Linked DNA regions of Solanum lycopersicum. The protein of the gene in region 1 interacts with the protein of each later gene in a pairwise test. Links are inferred from orthologs where the notes say so. Each region holds a gene or a part of one and is shown on either strand. Other genes may lie near its edges. The genes, in order: eukaryotic translation initiation factor 3 subunit E and COP9 signalosome complex subunit 7.

Region 1 (9,710 bases):
ATTACTTTAGGCCAAAAATACATATATAGACGATTCGCCAAAGTTGGCTCCAGTTTTCATTTCAACGCCTTCAACTAAGGCCAGTACCTATCGAACACTCCAACCTCAACCTTCTTCTAACTTTCTGAGGTTGGAGCGCTCACTATGTACTGACCTTAATCGAAATGAAAACTGGTGCCAACTCTGAGGCACCGTCAATAGAATTTGGCTCCAGTTTTCATTTTGACATATCAACTAATTTCACTACCTATCAAACGCTCCAACCTCATCCCTTTCTGTGACTTTATCTAAGGTTGTGAGTGCTCGATAGGTACTAACCTCAGTTAAAGTGTCGAAATGAAAACTGGTGCCAACTTTGAGGACCCTATGAAAAGAAAAGCAAGCTCATTCAGCATTGCTGTAACTATTTACTTGACAGGTCAAGTGGATCAGAGTATTGTATTCAGATTTTGCTGCATTTTCGAATGATCAAGAGGACTTGATATCATCTCAGAGTACATTTGACTATATCGAAGGATTCGTCATTATAAACAGCACTGGATTATTGAATAACTGGAGGTCTACTTTCAATCCTAAAGATCCACTTCAAGCTAGTAATTTTAGTTCAGAAGGCAGAGTTTTATTCTGTTTAGAAGTTGCGAAATACTTCAATCCAGAGGACACATATAGTACTGATCAGGTAAAAAAAACACATCAAAATCAGTTAACTTTTCCAGGTTTCGGATAACTCCAGTAAAATATTGACCTTGTTTCCTAAATAATTACTACAGGACATTGATATACTCTTATCAAAGTTGAGTTATATCCGATCAACGTTGTTTCTATCAGAAGTCTCCTACGTTGAGTTCCTCGATAGAGTTCATGTCTCCGAGATGAAGCTACAAGAGAAGGGGTTATGGGATGTTCCTCATCCATGGCTAAATCTTCTAATACCAAAAAGCAGGATTCTTGAATTTGCTCAAGAAGTTTTCGGAAAGATTCTTACTGATACAAGCAATGGTCCTCTACTCATCTACCCTGTCAACAAATCAAAGTACTACATTCTTGATTCTTCACAACTTACAAATCTCTTAATGATACGCGTTTTCCTAACAGTTATATATATCTTGAATGATCTATGTTTCAGGTGGAGAAAAGGAACATCAATGGTTACACCTGATGAAGATGTTTTCTACCTCATCGCGTTCCTGTCATCTGCTATGCCTTTTTCAACAGGAAAAGATGGACTAGAACACATCATAGATCAAAACAACAGAATACTGAGTTTTTGTGAAAAAACGCGTATTGGAATGAAACAATATTTGCCAAATCACAAGACTCAGGAAGAGTGGAAGCATCATTTTGGTCCTCATTGGGATACATTTGCTAGGAGGAAATCTACATATGACCCTTTGGCTATACTTGCTCCAGGACAGAGGATTTTCAGAAGGACGGCAGACTGTGAACATGAATGATCACAAATGTACATTCTTGAGTGGGACGGGGCGGGTTAAAAATTTTTGAGGTTTTAAGTTCCATCACATCCCATTGTCATCCCTATATGTTATGAAAATCTGGTTATTAGGTGAAGAATTTCGATAAACAATTGTACATTTTCCTTTCCCCTATCCCGGTAGACGAGCAAATCGTATCATATAAATGCTATCCAACTTGAAGATGAGATGTATTGGAGGGTAGGAAGACGATAAATATGAAACGTCACTTATAAACTTCATTTTTTGAATTTGTCATCTATAGATGAATTGATTTTCCAAAATATTTAACCAAAAATAATGCATTGACATCGCCTTGTAATGGACACTAGATTTATTATGTACCTATTGATGAACAGAGGGCTCTAAGTGATCACGAGCGAAGAGTAAAGCATCATATGAAACAAAATGCCCTGGCAAATTCCAGCTAAAACAAATTTTTTCATGGCAAAAACGAGTACTAAAATGCAAAGGCATACCACTTCCAATGGAGACAACACAAGATAAAAAAGAAACTAATGTATAATTCATCATGTATCTCAAAATTTCCTCCAAGGGAAATCCAGGAATTAACATAAGCAACATTCTTGAATATAAAGGTGTTAATCAGGTACGGGAGCAATGCAAAATTGGCACGAGCTTAATGTCCTCAACCAAACTATCTAGCAAGTTGTGTTTGTGCATGTTCAAGAAGCTGACTGACTAATTTGTACGTGCGTCCAGAAAGGGGCTTGGTGTGATCGATGAGCTGCTCGTACCTGAACATGACAATGCTCATAAACATCAGGTGTATGCTAAAATGGGTCAACGCATTGAACATTTCGATAAGGTACATCTGTATATAAACTTACACATTAGGCTGATTTGGTTCCATTGTAACTGTCCCGGTTTCAGTGTCTATCTTGGCATCAAGCTTTGAGGTCCTGATAAGATTCACCATCCATCGCTCTGCCTCCTCAAGGTTCAAGTTAAGCTTCTCAGCTAGAACCCTGACATTTATGAAATGAAAGAAAATGGTTATTAAATGGGCACAACTCTGCTTTCTTAAGCCCTCTCAACAGGTAACAAACAAAAGGGGTATACCTAATATTACAAAAAACTATGGGCAAGGGGAGTGGGAAGGAACCCCAAAATAGATTTAGAAAGTAACTTTGAAGAATTAGCTACATACCCCATGTCAATGCGTTGGTGAATGCGGCAGTAGGTCTCAGAGATAAAAAGACGAGCATTTTCAAGGAATTCATCTCTCAATGGCACAGAGGAGAAACTGCCCTCTTCAGCTCTTTTTCCAAGGAATGGGTCATTCAATATTAGCTGCATATAGCCTCCATGTTAAAATGAGTAAAAAGAGCTGCACTGACGGGAAGAGCTCAGTGGCTATACTAAAGATACTTGGCTTCGAGTATCAGAAACTAGCATGTCCAAAGTCTACAAAACTTGCATATATTTGCAAAGAGTCCTGCGCTTATACTTCCAAAATACAATCTTCACTTCATATATCATATCATCTTAAAGTCAATTACAACTTATTTAAAGAAAAGTTCAGTTTCTACTTCTGATATGCAAGAAATGAATCATACAACTATGATGTGACCATGCATCAAAGCGGATAAGCTACGCACAAAAGCTTACCTCTTCGCACTCCTTCATCTTCTCCTGTGCCCCATCAAAATCATAGTCGACGTAAATACATGCCAAAAACTCTGTGATGGGATCTTTACAAGAGTGTTGCTCCTGCTGAATAACCTTTATAAAGTCCTTAAATTGAGGTCTTCTTCTTTTGTTGACAATAAATGCAATAGCCAAGTACCGCAGCAAGTGGGGAGCACTTGTTTGAATGGCATTCAAGTATCTGCAAGACTTCAATGATTTAGAAAAGCTCAAAGGGAAGATGTAAATCCATAGAATACCAACAAAAGGAAAAATAACAGCTACTTTAATCGAGACATATCAAGAAGAATACTGTCTTAATGTATGTTACCACAAAAGAAGAGCAATATTTATTTCAAACATTTTGGAATAAGAAAACTATATTTCAAACATAATTCTGCTGTATGCAAATAAGAAATACAGTGTGTTCCTGACCCTCCAGATCATGTTTCATTCTAATTCATCTAGTTTTCTCCATTTTCCCACTAAGGGAAAGAACTAGGTAATCGGAGCTTCCTAAAATATTTCTCTACATCATACTCGGTAGGTGATAGTATCAGAAAAAATGCCTAGCTCAAACAGGATGGGGAAATCTAAAATGAAGCAGCAAATGAAAACAATCATCTATAAGCAATAGCAACTAAAGTACAGTTGGCATACTTGTCCTGGTTAAACAGGTCAATGATCAGTGTCCTGCCATTGTCATGGTTGAAGAAGATGAATAGACTCCAATGCATTAGCCATATTCTATTCTGAACTTGATTCAACGGAGTAGAGAAACTCTGCAAGACAAGCGACACTTTTAGTACACTTGGTAAACTGAGGATCATTCAGTTTTTTCCTACAGGATACTCAACTTGGTAAGACTAACTCAAACAGACAGATTGTTGACTCAATATATGCAAAATATTACCTTTGAGTCGATAATTTCTTTCAAGCGGTTGAGTTCCTCGAGTGCAATATCCCAATTCTGCATTAGTATCTCCGCTGCAAGCTTTCCCCACAATGCACTGACGCTCCTGTCACTGTTTGTGCACAATGCTCGGTACTGGTAAAGATAATCAGCAGCACCAGAATAGTTTCCACATTCAAACTGAAATTTGGCATATTGATACAATGCCTCTATCTGGTCCGGACCAATCTGGACAGGTTTGTAAGAGCATTACTAAAATAAAAAATGTATATTCACAAAATTAGCTAGAGACCAACTTCTGTTTGTGATCCCTTTAACAAGTATATTATTAATTATACAACATTAAGTACTAAAGAAGAAGGAACTCTATATCATGTAAATCAAACTAGATCTATGCACCTGGTACCGCTCCTGGAGCAACTGAAGATTGTGCTGTTTGTCAGCTCTCAACTCCTGCACAGCACTGGAATTCTGCAAAAAAGTGATCAATGGGGCTGCAGCTTCCTCAAGTGCTTTCAACCTTGCCACAACCTCGGCTCTCCTCTCCATCATTTCTGAACAATCAAACGGCAATTATAAAGACAGTGCAGAATTTAAACATGTAAAGGAACTCCCAAAATCACTTCTGCTCAAACTAAACTTTTTTAATAACAGAGGAATCCCTGAGGGCAAGTCGCAAATGGTTAGACTCTGTACCGACACGTATGTGTACCAACAGTTTATCTTATCTAAGTACACCAAGAAGGTTTTAATCTACATACATTGCATGCATTTACTGTAAAGCTCAAACAGAAAATCCAGACAACAACGTCAAAATTGCCTCCCATATCAAATCTCTATCTGATCACAACTATACAGATTCCTCAAGGGACAACTCCAAAGAAAACCTACGGAGACTGCCCCAACAGAATTACAATACCCCCACAAGAAAACAACTTCTATGCTAAAAAGGGCACTGCTAAGTCACCAGATTTTTTTACTCTTATACATCAACTATACAGATTATCCCCTTCGAATAAATTTTAAACAACTTCTACAGACCAGAACCATCAAAATTACAACTACCACCATATCACCACCCCAAAAAAGAACACCTTTTGTTAAAAGTGCAAAAGCATTAAGTGAAGCAACAAATAAATAAGCATTCACCAATACGTGGACCAATATGTAAACATACACCAATATGAAGGGAAACAGGAGACACCTGAAGGACAACTTCTACAACTTCTATAGAGACCATATCCATTAAAACTAACAACCCCACACCACACACGAAAACCTTCATGCTGAAAAGGGCACAAGGTATTTCGATCAGTAAGGGCACAAATCAACGGGCATTCATACCAAAGGGAAAGAAAGAGAAACCTTGACGTACAACCCCACCCCACACAACACACAAATCAATGCGTATTCACTACTACAAAGGGGGGAAAGAGATAACCTTGAGGAACAGCACATAGACAACTTGTATAAACAATATCCATAAAATTCACAACCCCACCCCCCCAAAAAAAAACCCCTTTTGCTAAAAAAAAAAAGCACAAGTATTAAGATTAATAAACAAAAAAATCAATTGGAAACACGAAGCGAAAAAATTAAATGATACCTTGAGGCACATCGTCAGTATGATAGAGAGACTTATGAATATCCATAGCATAATCAACCATGTTAGTGTGATTAAGCAGCTCAATCTTCGCCTTGAGTATATATTCATCTGGGTATAATCCCTGCTCTTGCAAAAACTCCAGTAACGGGAAAATCAAGTGAATGTCCAATTGCTGCGCTACACGTGGCGTCAAATCGTACTTCGACGCCATGATTGCTACTGTCGGTAAGAGATAGCAACCACAAAACTCGCCGCCGTGCAGAACCAGAGAAACTGAAAAGATGAGAAGTGGATCGGTAGAAGAAAGATTTCTAGGGTTTCGTCTTTTTTGCTGTAAGGAATAAATAATGTTGAAACTCCCCCTTGGGTTTTAAATATTGTTACCTTTAACCCCATCTTCAATACAACTACTTTTTCTTTTTCTTTTTTTTTTGTTTTGGTTTTGATTTTTACGATAGAAAATAATTTGTTTGATTGAATTTTTAAAAAAATCCAAAAGTGTTGATTTCTAAAAACAATAAGGTAAAAGTATTATCATAATAATATTGTTAAATATTACGCTAACTATTATCAATAATTATTAATTTTTATAATCGATCCACTATCGAACGATGACCATCAAATTATTTCTACTATCGAATAATCTTAGTATCTCTAATTGCAACCTCCTTCAACCATTATTTATTATACTATGTCACTAACCATCTTCAATAACAATATACGTCATTTTTTTACTAATATCGTCAATTATTACCTTCATTTTTAACAATTATAATCAATCACTTATAGTCATCACTTCACGATTATCATTACTAACTATCACCATCTTTGTTTGACCCTGTGAACGTGCTTCATCAAAACAATTTCACTCGAATATGTTAATTTTATAATATTCGATTATCATTTTTTGAACTCTATATACTACTCCTAGGAGTAGTTTTAAAATAAAGATGAGTTCCATATATTCACATGCTATAGTAAAAAGAATAAACAACTTATCTTAAATTATTTTTTTGGGCAACTGAATGCATTTTATTACCAAAGTGGCAAAATATGGCTAAAAAAAACACCAGAGCATATTCCAACTAATGATCGTTATATGTTCCTAAAGTCTTTAACGATATTAATTTTAATGACACTTATCTAATGCCCATGTGACTTTAACACTCTTTATTAATGTCAATATTTTATCCCGCTAAAAATTATTTTCATTAAAGATCACTATGCATAAATTTGATAAGAGGTCTAATAGTATTATCATTCTTGTCGTTCTTGTTTTTAATTCATAGGGCTACATTATTCTGAAAAGTCTTGTAATTCAATACCAAATAAACTCCATATGAATAAAGCACAACCCTTTATTAACCTTAAAATAAAGATAAAAGTAGACTTTTGGGCTCCTTGAAATAGATTTGTTTATATTTTATTTTCTAAAATAAGCCGAACCAAATACTCTTTAAAGTAGTCATGATCGAATAGTAAACACATCAAAAGAAACACAAAGGATTTAGTTTTGATAGCCCATTAACTGCTCTACAACACACTAGACTTCTACAAGCAAGTAATTCAACTTCACCCTGGAAACTGTTTACAAAAACTAACAGAAGCAAACATCTCTCTACTGAAAACAAACGAAAACGAAGCTGGTAAATCATAGTAAGACCACCCGTAATTGTGAAATTCATATGCCTCGTCTCTAAGCAATCAGGAAAGGCAAAACTGTTAGCATGAACGACTCATAAGTGAACGTAGCAGAGCCAGAATATGAAGTATCCTTCTCCTTGAACTTCTCAGTTAGCCCCTGCAAAAGAAATGAGAGCGTATGTGAGAAAAAACACCTAGCTGGATAAAATGGAATGGTACACGAATGCCAGAATATACGAAGTTACTGTAAGCTTACTTTAACGGTGAGGCAGCACCTGAATCAAGCAAATAAAACGGAAGAACAAAAGGCAAAGTTAGCAAAGCATAGAACAAAATAGAAGATATATACGAAGAAAGATTTGCATTGATGCAGAAACATACTCAATGAAGTTATCATATTCAATGGCTCTACTCTTTCCACCAGTTTTATCAAACTTGGAGACCAGCAATTCCAGGATAGAAGGTGATACAGCATATCCCAGGCTAAGTAACGCGTCCCTCAATTCAGATGAATCAATTTTTCCACTCCTATCCCTATCAAATCTCTCGAAAATTCCCTGCATTACACAGGAAGTTCCAATCAACTTCCATAGAAAGGGAGATTTGTTTTCCCAAGCAAAACGGAAAACACAAAGAAGTGCAAAGCTAACCGTAAAAGATTCTTTAACTTACCCTCCATTCTTGGAGACTGTAGAACACTGAAGTGAATTCTTTGGGACCTGCTTACAGGGCAGAAAATAGATCAACAGGCAGAAAAAGAAAGAGGGAAAGATCTATAGGCTCATTGAAAGAACAAAGCTTCGTTAAGGTATATCTCCAACTCAAATTCGATCAACATCATTAAACCATACTCTTGATCAACTTCAAAAACCAATAACATTTGGAATGAAAAATATATAGAACAAAAAGGGAATAGTTCTGCATTCATCTTTCCACTTGAAAAAACATAGAGCAAAAAGGAAGTCTGGCGAACATGTTAGCACACAATCATTTACTACTAGATGCTAAAACTAAAGTTTCTGCGTAGAATTATCAATATACAAAGTTGCATCTTATGTAGGTAGTTGTTTTGCCACCCTAATGGCTCAACACATGGTCTAAAGAGATTCTAACTTCAAAAAAGGAAGGAGAAAGGAAGAGAGGGGAAAAAAGAGAGAAGTCTAAACGGAAGTTCGGCCGCTATCACCACATTGTCAAAGACTTGCTTCTGTTCCTTCCAAAGAGAACTAATAGTGCAAGACAGTGTTAAATTAAGCTAGATATTGCTCAATTGAGAACACCACTTCCATAAGTAGTAGGAACGTCCAATCTGCATTATGTAAGATCTCCATGCTAAGAAAATGTTATTTCTCTTTTTATATGGAAATCCCACCCTACATTCCCCCATTGATGGACCAACAGGGTCTTTTCACACCTTTCTTCCCTGATGACGTTGATTCATTACATCGCCAATTCAGAATACATAAAATGGCCACACAGTCATCAACTCAAGGAACAACAAACTCAATAACTTCCACCTAATCCTGGACGAGGACATAAAGAACAATTCATACAGGAATTTCAATGGCCATATCAAAGTCTTATAGGCCTGTTTAAGTCATATCATCCTGGCCAACATACACTTAAGGATGACCCACCAATACAACCATAAGGGGTTGTTTGGTATAAGGTATGCCTCGGATATCCCACTGGATTAGTTATCCGACCATATATTTATCTGTGGGACTGACTAATACTCCTAAGCAAATGCATGATAAAATAATCACATAACTGTTACCCTTCGTCCCTCATACCAAGCAACCCCTAAAGTCTTGATCAAGATTACTTCTTTATTACGAAAGATTACTCCAAATGACCTTTTTCAACCACCCTCAGTCACAAATCAACTGTATACTGCATGTTGTTATTAATAATTGTACACAACCTAACATTTTCAGCACGAAATTCATCATCGATCTGATCATTTTCTACAATACATGGCAAACACTGAAACATTTCATAAGTGAATTTTGAGCTCAATTATTTGGAATTAAGATTATTACCGATTTTTCTAGTGTTGGTATTGGTGAAGAGATACATAAGCAGATGAACAGTCCTCAAGCTGAAGCTCTGATTATACGAAGAAAGCGCCTTCTGCAGCTCCTTATCATCAATTAACCCACTCCCATCCTGATCCGCGAGCTGGAAACAAGCTACAATATTCGGATCGGTACCCGGTGGAAAAGCAGACGGCACAAGAGATGCAAAAGGGCTACTAGCTCCATAAGGCCCAGCAGGAGGTGGCGCGTGGTATCCACCATAAGGAGCAGACGGTTGTGAGTGGCTATCCTTCGGTGGTTTGTTCGGATCACCGTACGGAGCCGAAGGAGGTGGAGCAGGGTACCCAGCCCCTGCCCCACCGTAAGGGGATGAAGACTGTGGTTTA
Region 2 (9,058 bases), on another chromosome or scaffold:
TTTGTATATGTATATCGAAACAGAAACAGTTTACATACAACTGTTTTTTGTATATGTATAACAAAATATACATATTTTTGTTTTTTGAGGGAGCGTAATTATACAAACTCTAACTATAATATATAAATATAATTTTCGTATTTACTATGTGTGAAAGTTGCTCATCGAAGGAATTGGGACAATTGTAATATCAAAAACAAAATTTTATATTCTCTAAATTGTGTCTAGAACATAAAATAAACATTTTCACGTGATTCTTCAACAATTCTGAAAAGCATTTACTTTGATTCTCTGACCTATTCAAAAAAGCATTTTGATTCCTAAATATATACATACATATGTATATATATTTTACTTATTCTGAGAAAGGAAAAAAAAAATTACATGAGTTAATCCTTTTGACACCTAATTCTTCTAAATTTACATATTAGAACAACCCACCAAATGCAAAGAGGGAGAAAAAAAATGTGATCAATATAACAAAGATTAGAGATTTATGTCAAAATAATTTTTTTATATAAGAAAGTCATTACAGGCTTTCTACAAATTAAATTTAATCTTGAAAAAATTGAAGTGTATCTAAAAATATCTTCGTGTATTAAGAAATTTGATAATGTTATCCATACAGAGCGATGGCCCAAATATGTGTCTAATTAACTATATTCTAATGATTTTATTTTACAAATTAAAGAAATTAAAGTCCTTGTTGATTTTATAAATCAAACAAGTTCCACGAGTATGTATGGTGTGTGATTTTTTTTTTATACATTCATCACATTTAAATTCTAGTTTATTTATTGCACTTAAATTGAGAATTTTTTGAAAATAATATTTTTACATTTACTAGATATGATGATTAGGTTTATCTATATTCTATCCTTTTCAAACTTCACTTATAAATTTTTACTGAATATAATATTATTGATGAGAATACACGCGTAGGCACCATATTTAACAAATGCAAGACAATTAGTACTAATACAATTTTTGCCTCTAATTTAATTTTTAGCTAATTTATAATTTTCTCTTCTTTGAAGAGGTATATTCTACCAATGATGACTGTGACGAGTGGCAACGCTTACGCGGAGCCACTCTAACTGGCTCAGATATGTCCGAGCCGATTAAATGAGGAAAATTCAATCGAGCCTTAGAGCCACGAATCTTATAAGCGGCTTGGTCATAAGCCAATGCTGCATCTTCAGGTGTCCCGTAAGTCCCTAGCCAAAGCCTAGCACCTTTCCTATCGGGGTCTCTTATCTCCGCCGCGAACTTACCCCACGGCCGCCGCCTGACGCCTCTATACCGGTTCCAATCACCAGGCGCGTGCACACCACGTGCCACTAAAGGCTCCTCTTTTGGTGCCTCTTCGTGCTCCAATTTATCGATACATTGCCACGGACTATCAATATTAGTTATCATATCTCCCCAACTAATCTCTGCTGCTGATGTAGAGCTACCGTAACTCGAATTCGGACTATTAATAATATCTGCATGACTAATATTGATCGGATCGAACATCGAAAGGATTTGAGAAAAATCGGAATCATTAACAAGATGGAATTTAATGTTTTCAAGTACGGAAAGATCAGAATCTGAGATGGTTGTTGATTTTTGTTGGTACATTTTTTGAATTTTTAAGGAAAATTTTGTTAAAATTGAAAGAAGTATTGAGCTGATGAGTGTGAATGAATGATGAAGTTTAAATTAATTTTTTTTCATTATATAGGGAACCATATTGTCCACTATTTATTTAAAAATAATATTTATGTGATCCAACACATGTTTTTATTTTCTTTTTTAAAATTATCAAGAGTGTTATTTATAAGAATTTCGTGGAAGCAACGAGCCCATCAATCAAAGTAGTTATTTTTAACATGTCTTTATATTTTAATAACTTTTTTTTATTCTTCTCTTTATATTATATATATAATATAAAAGTTGATTTAATTATGTATTATTCTTGGTATGGACACTGAGGTATCATTTTGTTTTGTCCAATAAGGTACTATTAAATTACCAACACTTTTTTGTTCGAGGTATAATTTAGTTTCCACGAAGCAAGTTGAATATCATGAGGTATCAGATATGTAATATGTATATTGTAGGTGAAAGATAATAAATATTTTGTAAATTTAATTGAAATTTGTGTAAATTTATTCAGATATCACGATTATAAAAAAGAAAATGAAACATCTACTCATTTGATAGGAAATATTACTTTATTTTCTGGTTAGCTGTTGCTTATATTATTAATTCCTTCTTTTTTTAAAAAAAAATGTTCGATATGGCCAACTTTTTTTAGTGGTATTTATAAATTGTAATCTATAATCCCAACGAATATACAAGTACGTATGTCTTATATACTTATAAATATAGAACAAGTCAATTTTAAAAAATTAAAAGATTACAAATTATAACATGTGATGATCTGAACGCAAACTAAATACTATAATTTATAAAACATTAGTTTTAACTAGAAACAGAACGTATTTGGTCCCTGACTTTATGTGTTAATTTCAATTTTAGTCCCTATTGTTTTAATCGGAGACATACTTTTTTTTTGGGGAAAAGGGTCAAATATGCCCCTAAATTATTCGAAAAGATTTAGATATACTTCGTTTAAAGTTTGGCTCACTCATGTCCTCGCCGTTCAAATTTTGGCTCAGATATGCCCTTGTGGACGTTAGCTGGTATGCTGGTGGTAAGGTCAAAATGACATTGCAATTCCATGTGGCATTTAAAGAAATAAAAAATAAGCTGAATATGCCCAGCATACCAACTAACGTCCACAAGGGCATATCTAGGTGAAAATTTGAACAACGAGGGCATGAGTGAGCCAAACTTTAAACAGAGAGTATATCTAGACCTTTTCGAATAGTTTAGGGACATGTTTGACCTCCCCCCCCTCCCCCTTTTTTTTTTTAAGATAAGAATTTAACTTGAATAATTCAAAATAAAATTAACGAAAAGAAAATTATGAAAGTCTAAATCCAGTAAATATATGAGTAGTTCAAAAACTATTTTAGACCCCAAAATGAATCGAGAAACTAATGATATTTTTAATACCAACAACAATCTTGTTGAAGCAACTTAATTGTAGCATTTCTTTCTCTTGAATTTATATCCACCAATATGTGAAGATATGGAGAAAGAGTAAGATAAATTTAAAATTAGCGAGCGAGGTTAGAATAAAAAAATCCTAATTTTGCAACTAAAATTAGCAAAAACTATATAACAACAATATAGGAATATTTTATAATTTACCAATAACGTGTAAATGAGAGTTGTTAAAAATAATCAAAGTCAAGATGAGAAGGAATATTTTGGAACACCATTTTCCTAGTCCGTACATATGACATCATAGTCCAAGAAAAGTATATTATTAATAAATAAACAAACTTTTATCATAGTTATTTTTTTTTACGAAAAAAAGAAATTCGAACCAAAGCTGTACAGAATATTTAGATCCACAACGCTAAAAAGGTAAAAATCTTCGTAAAATGACATTGAAATTCATAACTTGATATTCCAGGAAGGTAATAATAACTTTATATCAGACATATTTAGAGGAGCTTCTAGAAATATAAGGTATAATTCTCTGATTGCGCATTCTAAATTCTAGATAATTATATAACGTGATGAAATTATCCAAGGTTTTCTTCTTTTTCTTTTTTGAGTCTAGAAGCAATCCTAATTATATTTATTATATACTATAGAATATAACCAATTTAATTGTAAATTAACTACCCACAATCTCAGCAGAAAAATTCATCACCTCATATGATGAATTTTATCTTATGAAGATGGAAAATTACCTGTACCTTAAAGCAATCACTCAAAACAAAAACCTGGGGGAAAAAAATCATGAAAGCATATAGACTTGTATGAATGTAAAATGAATCAGCTCCACAAGTTTCAGCCGCATCATCATCGTCGTCGTCATCATATTAAAATCTTTCCAACTCAAAAAAGGCAAACAAGATGGAAATAATGGAGTTAAGTGCAAAATATGGCTCTATGGGGTACTTCGAGTCTACAAGTTCCATTCACAGCATGACAAATTTTTAGAAGGGTTGAAACTGTCTGCTAAAGCAGAAAGCATCTATGGTAAAAAAAAAAAACTGGCCAGCAGCCACTCTAATTCTTCCTAACATCGCCCCCAACTCCATCACCTTAACCAATAGGGTGTCGTCTCCTGCAAATTTTACAAAGTTAAAAATCAGCAGATGAGAGAGACTATCTATACAATATATAAATACACACTAACCGTGTAAAGAATTTAATCTCAGTCCAAGTTACCAATAAGAGTAAAAATACATTCACGGGAGTGTAAAGATATTAGAGAGTAAAGACTTCTACGGTTTCTAGCATTCAACTGGCATGGAAGGATAGATGCGGTTTCATGTCTCCGCCAATTCATATTTTTGGTTTGAAGCATTCTTGCAATGGATTGAAGTGACCCTGCAGTCCCTACAGCACACACTTGTGCATCATAGGATCTTTCTTCCCTTATCAGATTTTTAATGTGATATATTTCATAGGTCAATATACAGACCATGACTAGCTGCTAAATGACTGGAAAATTTAATCCCGGGATATATAAGACTACTACTACCTCTTCGGTCGGCCTCGGTCTTCCTCATAATCCATCACTCCACCAGATTCAGAGTAGATCTCCTCATGCCCTCTGAAGTCAACGTCGGCCTGCTTACAGTTTGTAGCTTCTGCCACAGAGTAAGTAAGACAGATCGACAAAAATATCCCAGTACTTAAATATAAAGTGAGTCTTCAACATAACAAAAAGCTTAAACACGAACTGAGGGTCATTAGGACTCAAATGGGCAAACTACGAAGATATTCTACCCCAAAAAAGGAATCTCACAACCCAGGTAGACCAAGTCCATCAGCTGAAAGACATGCTCGCCATTCAATATGGCCTGGTGCACTGTCAAGTTATGCCCATAGTTTTTACTTTTTAGAATCAACACAGAACTCATCTCTTGAAAATCTATACTGTACTCACCTTCAAAGAGAGTGACTTCTTCACCTCATCAACCCTTTCTTCAACTTCCTTCCGGTGCTTCCTGTCCGATTCACTCATTGTATCTGCCCATTTGATTTTCTCTTGAATTGACACAAGAAGATTGTCTGAAGTAGTCAACCTGTTTTTTATCAAAAAATTAAATAAATTTGAGAGTAGGTTGACAATTACAGTTAGATCTTATAGTTATAGCATGCAGAACATTCATAGTTCACACTTCACCAGGACCTCTCATTGTAAGACGGAACACATACACCAGAGTAACACCACAGCATACACAAAAACGTCCAACTCTTTTAATCTTATCCCTCACCTAACTTCGGCATTATACCACAAGTCTGCAGATTCAATTTACATTTGATTTATGGCATAGAAAGTTGTGTGGGATTGTACTCAGTAAAAACAATTATCATATAATTTCCACCACAAAAGTTCCAAATTTACATTTCCAAAGTTGTGTTGTTCACATAGTTGCAATAAGAGAATAAGTAGAACTACTAATTGAAAAATAGATTAGGATAATCAACAGTTGTAAAAATGGCAACAATAAGGCTGGAAGACAATTATTAGCTCAAACAAAATGAATGATCATCTTGACATGATTTCTCTTTCATTTTTTAACAAGGTAGATAAGTTCACTAAAAATAGATGATTTTTATGCCATACCAGAGAGAACTTAAATGAAGCTTCATAAAAACATACAACTAGAAGGCAAGTAAGCAGCCTTTTCACTGACCTCTGAGTCAGCATCAATTAGCAAATACCACAGAGGTGTTCCGATAAGTTCTTCCATCCTGTGGACCTAGGAGCCCACAGCATGGTGAGATTTTCTACCGACTTGGGGAAGTGTAGGTGGCTCAAACGAAATCATGCATCTCAATAACATTCGCATAATGACATTCTCAAAATTGGGATCCTAGATTGAATCATTTATCGGTCTCGGGATTGGCTCCCGGGATACTAACCTTAATTCCTTAAAACCAGAATAGACAAGGAATAACATGCTGATGTGCTATATAATGGCAACTAATAATGGGTTAAATCTAGTCAATATTCCAAAACTAGTGAACATAGATGCGTCATCTAGGCAAGTTTGTGTGAACAGTCTCAGCACAACTTCACGCCGAACATGACTTCGACACATGCCCGACACAATTTCATACTTAACCAATTTATTGACTAATAAATCATCCAATGGACACAAGGACTCAACAAGGACACATCCGAACATCAATCCACACTCAACAATCTCTTTGGCAGGTAAATACGATAAATTTATCAGAAAATAGAACTCTACATGAACACAACTTACTTAGAGAAAAAAATCCAAAGAGGAGATGCAAAATAATACAACCAAATAATAACTAGTTAAATATCTCAAAGTGCGCTCAAATAAAAGAACCATGAATGCAACACCACTACCCAAGAACCTCATTCTATCCTGCTTTCTTTAGACCTTTTCAACAAACACAAGCATTTGTTACTGTTGCCTGATGGCTCTTTACTTGACAAATTGTTCACTTTCCACTTCTCAGCTTTAACAAGCAAGAAGCAGAATTCCCAGAACCCCCAAGGTTTCAGATCTTGACAGCAGGCCTCAATGTTTTACTCCTCCCCTTTGGTACATCCATCATTGAGCTTGTGCCACATGCCAGCATGCGCAATGTTGCCTGTCTTCCCTTCATCATTTCAACCAATGGCACTAAAAGGAAAACTTACTCTTTCTTTAAATCTCATTCTTCAAACCTAACTTCATGTTTTTCCGCCCATCTTCCTTAATCAAACCTACTTCAACACTAAATACAGCCTCCAATGGACCCTCATGACTTACCAGGCCCCTCGTTGCCTATCCATATGAACAGAAAACCACCCACTAACTTACTCTATAAGCGCCTCACCGGGAACACCAAAACCTACATCTCCTTTCCCTTACTCCTAACAGATTTTATTGTTTCTAGCCAGTAGTGCTCAACTTCAAATAACAGCAACTAAATCAGAATAATATGCCATCTGATCATCAATATTGTAGGCCAACAACAATGGCAGATCTTACAACCAAACTGAAATGGCTGCACTTGATTTTCTTAAAAAGAAAAAAAAATGAAGATTCAAAAGACCCACGTCCAAGTTCCATAGCTTTTTTGGTTCGCTATCCGATCATTGATTTTCCTACCTCCAAAAGGAAAGGTACTTCCCCTTTAGGATTAAAAAAATGAAAAAGATAAGGTGACTGAGCTCAACTTTTTCAATAATAACTATTTTCTCAGTCCGTCCACTAAAAATTCCATAGCTTTTGATTCGCTATCCGATCTAGTTTTAAGAGTTTATTGCTTCTTTTTTTGGTAGTTGTGATGGGTAAACCCAGTGTTGATTTTTTTTTAAGGCAGAGCATCCTGTTCTTTATGTGTCCTGCTTTGAAAATTTTTAAAGACTTCACTTGAAACTTTTTGGTAAGTGAGAATTCAAATTGAAATTACAAAGATATGTTTCCACCAGAAGCGAAGTCCTTATTTTTCAGCTTACGATCAATATCCAATTCAGTCATCTTTGTGTCGGCAGCCTCAGCTCAAAGGTATTAACATCACAATCATAAGAGCTGCTCTTCACCATGGTCTAATCCAACGTTATACATTACTGAAGAAATTGGTCAGACCCCATAAGCAGATTATGCAACTCATATCACTTCTATAACCTCAACTAGCTGTTTTGTTTAAGGCGGATATAAAAAAAATCTTAGAAACTGGCATACGAACTACAGCTCAGTAAGTCATTATGAAGGTAACGAGATCAAGACACGAAAGGGAAGAAAAGAGAACTCAACAACTCTTCAAGAACAGAAGATGTTTGTCATATAAATAGGACAACAGAATATCAATAGAAAGATCCTATCGTAAAGTCAATACACAACCCCAAGCCCAACTAAGAAACAACTAAATAATACTCAGACAGAGATAATAGGGCATGATATAATGATATGGCTATCAGAGTCATCTAAACAAGAACATAGATATACCAGTCAGTTAATGTCTGTAGCATATTCCCCAATTGACCGGGTCTGAGATCTCTCCCTGCAGCAAATTGTACCTATAATTGTGCGGAGACAGTTAATTACCCCATGTCAGCACGCTGCAACCAAGAGTTGGCGAAACAGCAAACACACCATACCAACCTCAAAGCATCTTTTCAACTGATCCAGCTTTCCTCTAACTATGCCCTGTCAACGGATGCATAAAAATGGGGAATTATTAATTCTTTTAATAGCAGATTGAGACATCAAATCAGTTATTATCCCAACCCCCAACCCAAAGAGAAAGTGAATAAAGGAAGGGAAGGAAAAGGCAAAGTAAGCCACCAATAACCTATGAGGCACCAGAACCCAATTTAAAAAATAAGTTGAATTTCTATCCAGAAGGCTAAATAAACTATCATAAGAACATCAATAGAAGCAAATTCCTACAATAAACTTAAGTCCGACATACTTCCAATATTGGAAAGTACAAAGTATCTCTATTCATCACACAATGATACAAGGAGTGAGAGCTAATACTCACCACATACATGCACTCATTTATGAGAAAATCTTCAAGTTCACGCACATTTGTGACATCCAACTCCTGCATAAGTTGATCATATGGAAGCTCCTGGAAAGAGGAAAGGAGTCATTACTGGCAGTGACTCTAATAACAAAGGACATCAGTGAAAGAAGTGAATATCAACATCATTATCAAAGGTTGTTGATATATGAAAAGGGTTGTCATGAAGAAACACAAAAGAATGTTAAAAACTGAAAAACATAAATATATTTTGTTCTTTTCCATTATGAGAAATGAACTTGAGAGATATGATAATCATGCAAATCACCGGAAAACATCTCACAGATAGCACGATAGACGGAGTTGTTGACACTGAACAAGGTAAGCATAAAACAAAGTATCCGGTACTTACTTAAAACAGCATACCCAAAGTAATCCCACAAGTGAGGTATCCAGTATTTACTTGAATAGCATTATTAGAGTT

The links.
Region 2: the proteins of eukaryotic translation initiation factor 3 subunit E (region 1) and COP9 signalosome complex subunit 7 interact in binary tests that used the Arabidopsis thaliana proteins (3 or more experiments, as listed by UniProt). The link is inferred for Solanum lycopersicum from reciprocal best matches to the Arabidopsis thaliana genes EIF3E and FUS5.

What each region holds. Positions count from the first base shown.
Region 1 is NC_090809.1:60,502,622-60,512,331, forward strand, and holds eukaryotic translation initiation factor 3 subunit E, read right to left. Parts: upstream 6,003-9,710; 5' UTR 5,853-6,002; coding exon 5,642-5,852; intron 4,590-5,641; coding exon 4,435-4,589; intron 4,264-4,434; coding exon 4,036-4,263; intron 3,905-4,035; coding exon 3,783-3,904; intron 3,325-3,782; coding exon 3,105-3,324; intron 2,787-3,104; coding exon 2,644-2,786; intron 2,462-2,643; coding exon 2,324-2,461; intron 2,231-2,323; coding exon 2,131-2,230; 3' UTR 1,894-2,130; downstream 1-1,893. Other genes in the region: CKX7 (cytokinin oxidase/dehydrogenase-like 7 precursor), read left to right, coding at 419-679, 771-1,033, 1,127-1,454; calcium-binding protein CBP, read right to left, coding at 7,338-7,442, 7,542-7,560, 7,667-7,842, 7,958-8,004, 9,328-9,710. UniProt on the Arabidopsis thaliana protein: Component of the eukaryotic translation initiation factor 3 (eIF-3) complex, which is involved in protein synthesis of a specialized repertoire of mRNAs and, together with other initiation factors, stimulates binding of mRNA and methionyl-tRNAi to the 40S ribosome.
Region 2 is NC_090800.1:79,726,110-79,735,167, reverse strand, and holds the end of COP9 signalosome complex subunit 7, read right to left. Parts: intron 8,683-9,058; coding exon 8,593-8,682; intron 8,256-8,592; coding exon 8,211-8,255; intron 8,126-8,210; coding exon 8,055-8,125; intron 5,163-8,054; coding exon 5,024-5,162; intron 4,946-5,023; exon of another isoform or gene 4,725-4,945; coding exon of another isoform or gene 4,705-4,724; coding exon 4,616-4,704; intron 4,196-4,615; coding exon 4,174-4,195; coding exon of another isoform or gene 4,169-4,173; 3' UTR 3,914-4,168; downstream 1-3,913. Other genes in the region: JRE1 (ethylene-responsive transcription factor 13), read right to left, coding at 1,015-1,623. UniProt on the Arabidopsis thaliana protein: Component of the COP9 signalosome complex (CSN), a complex involved in various cellular and developmental processes such as photomorphogenesis and auxin and jasmonate responses.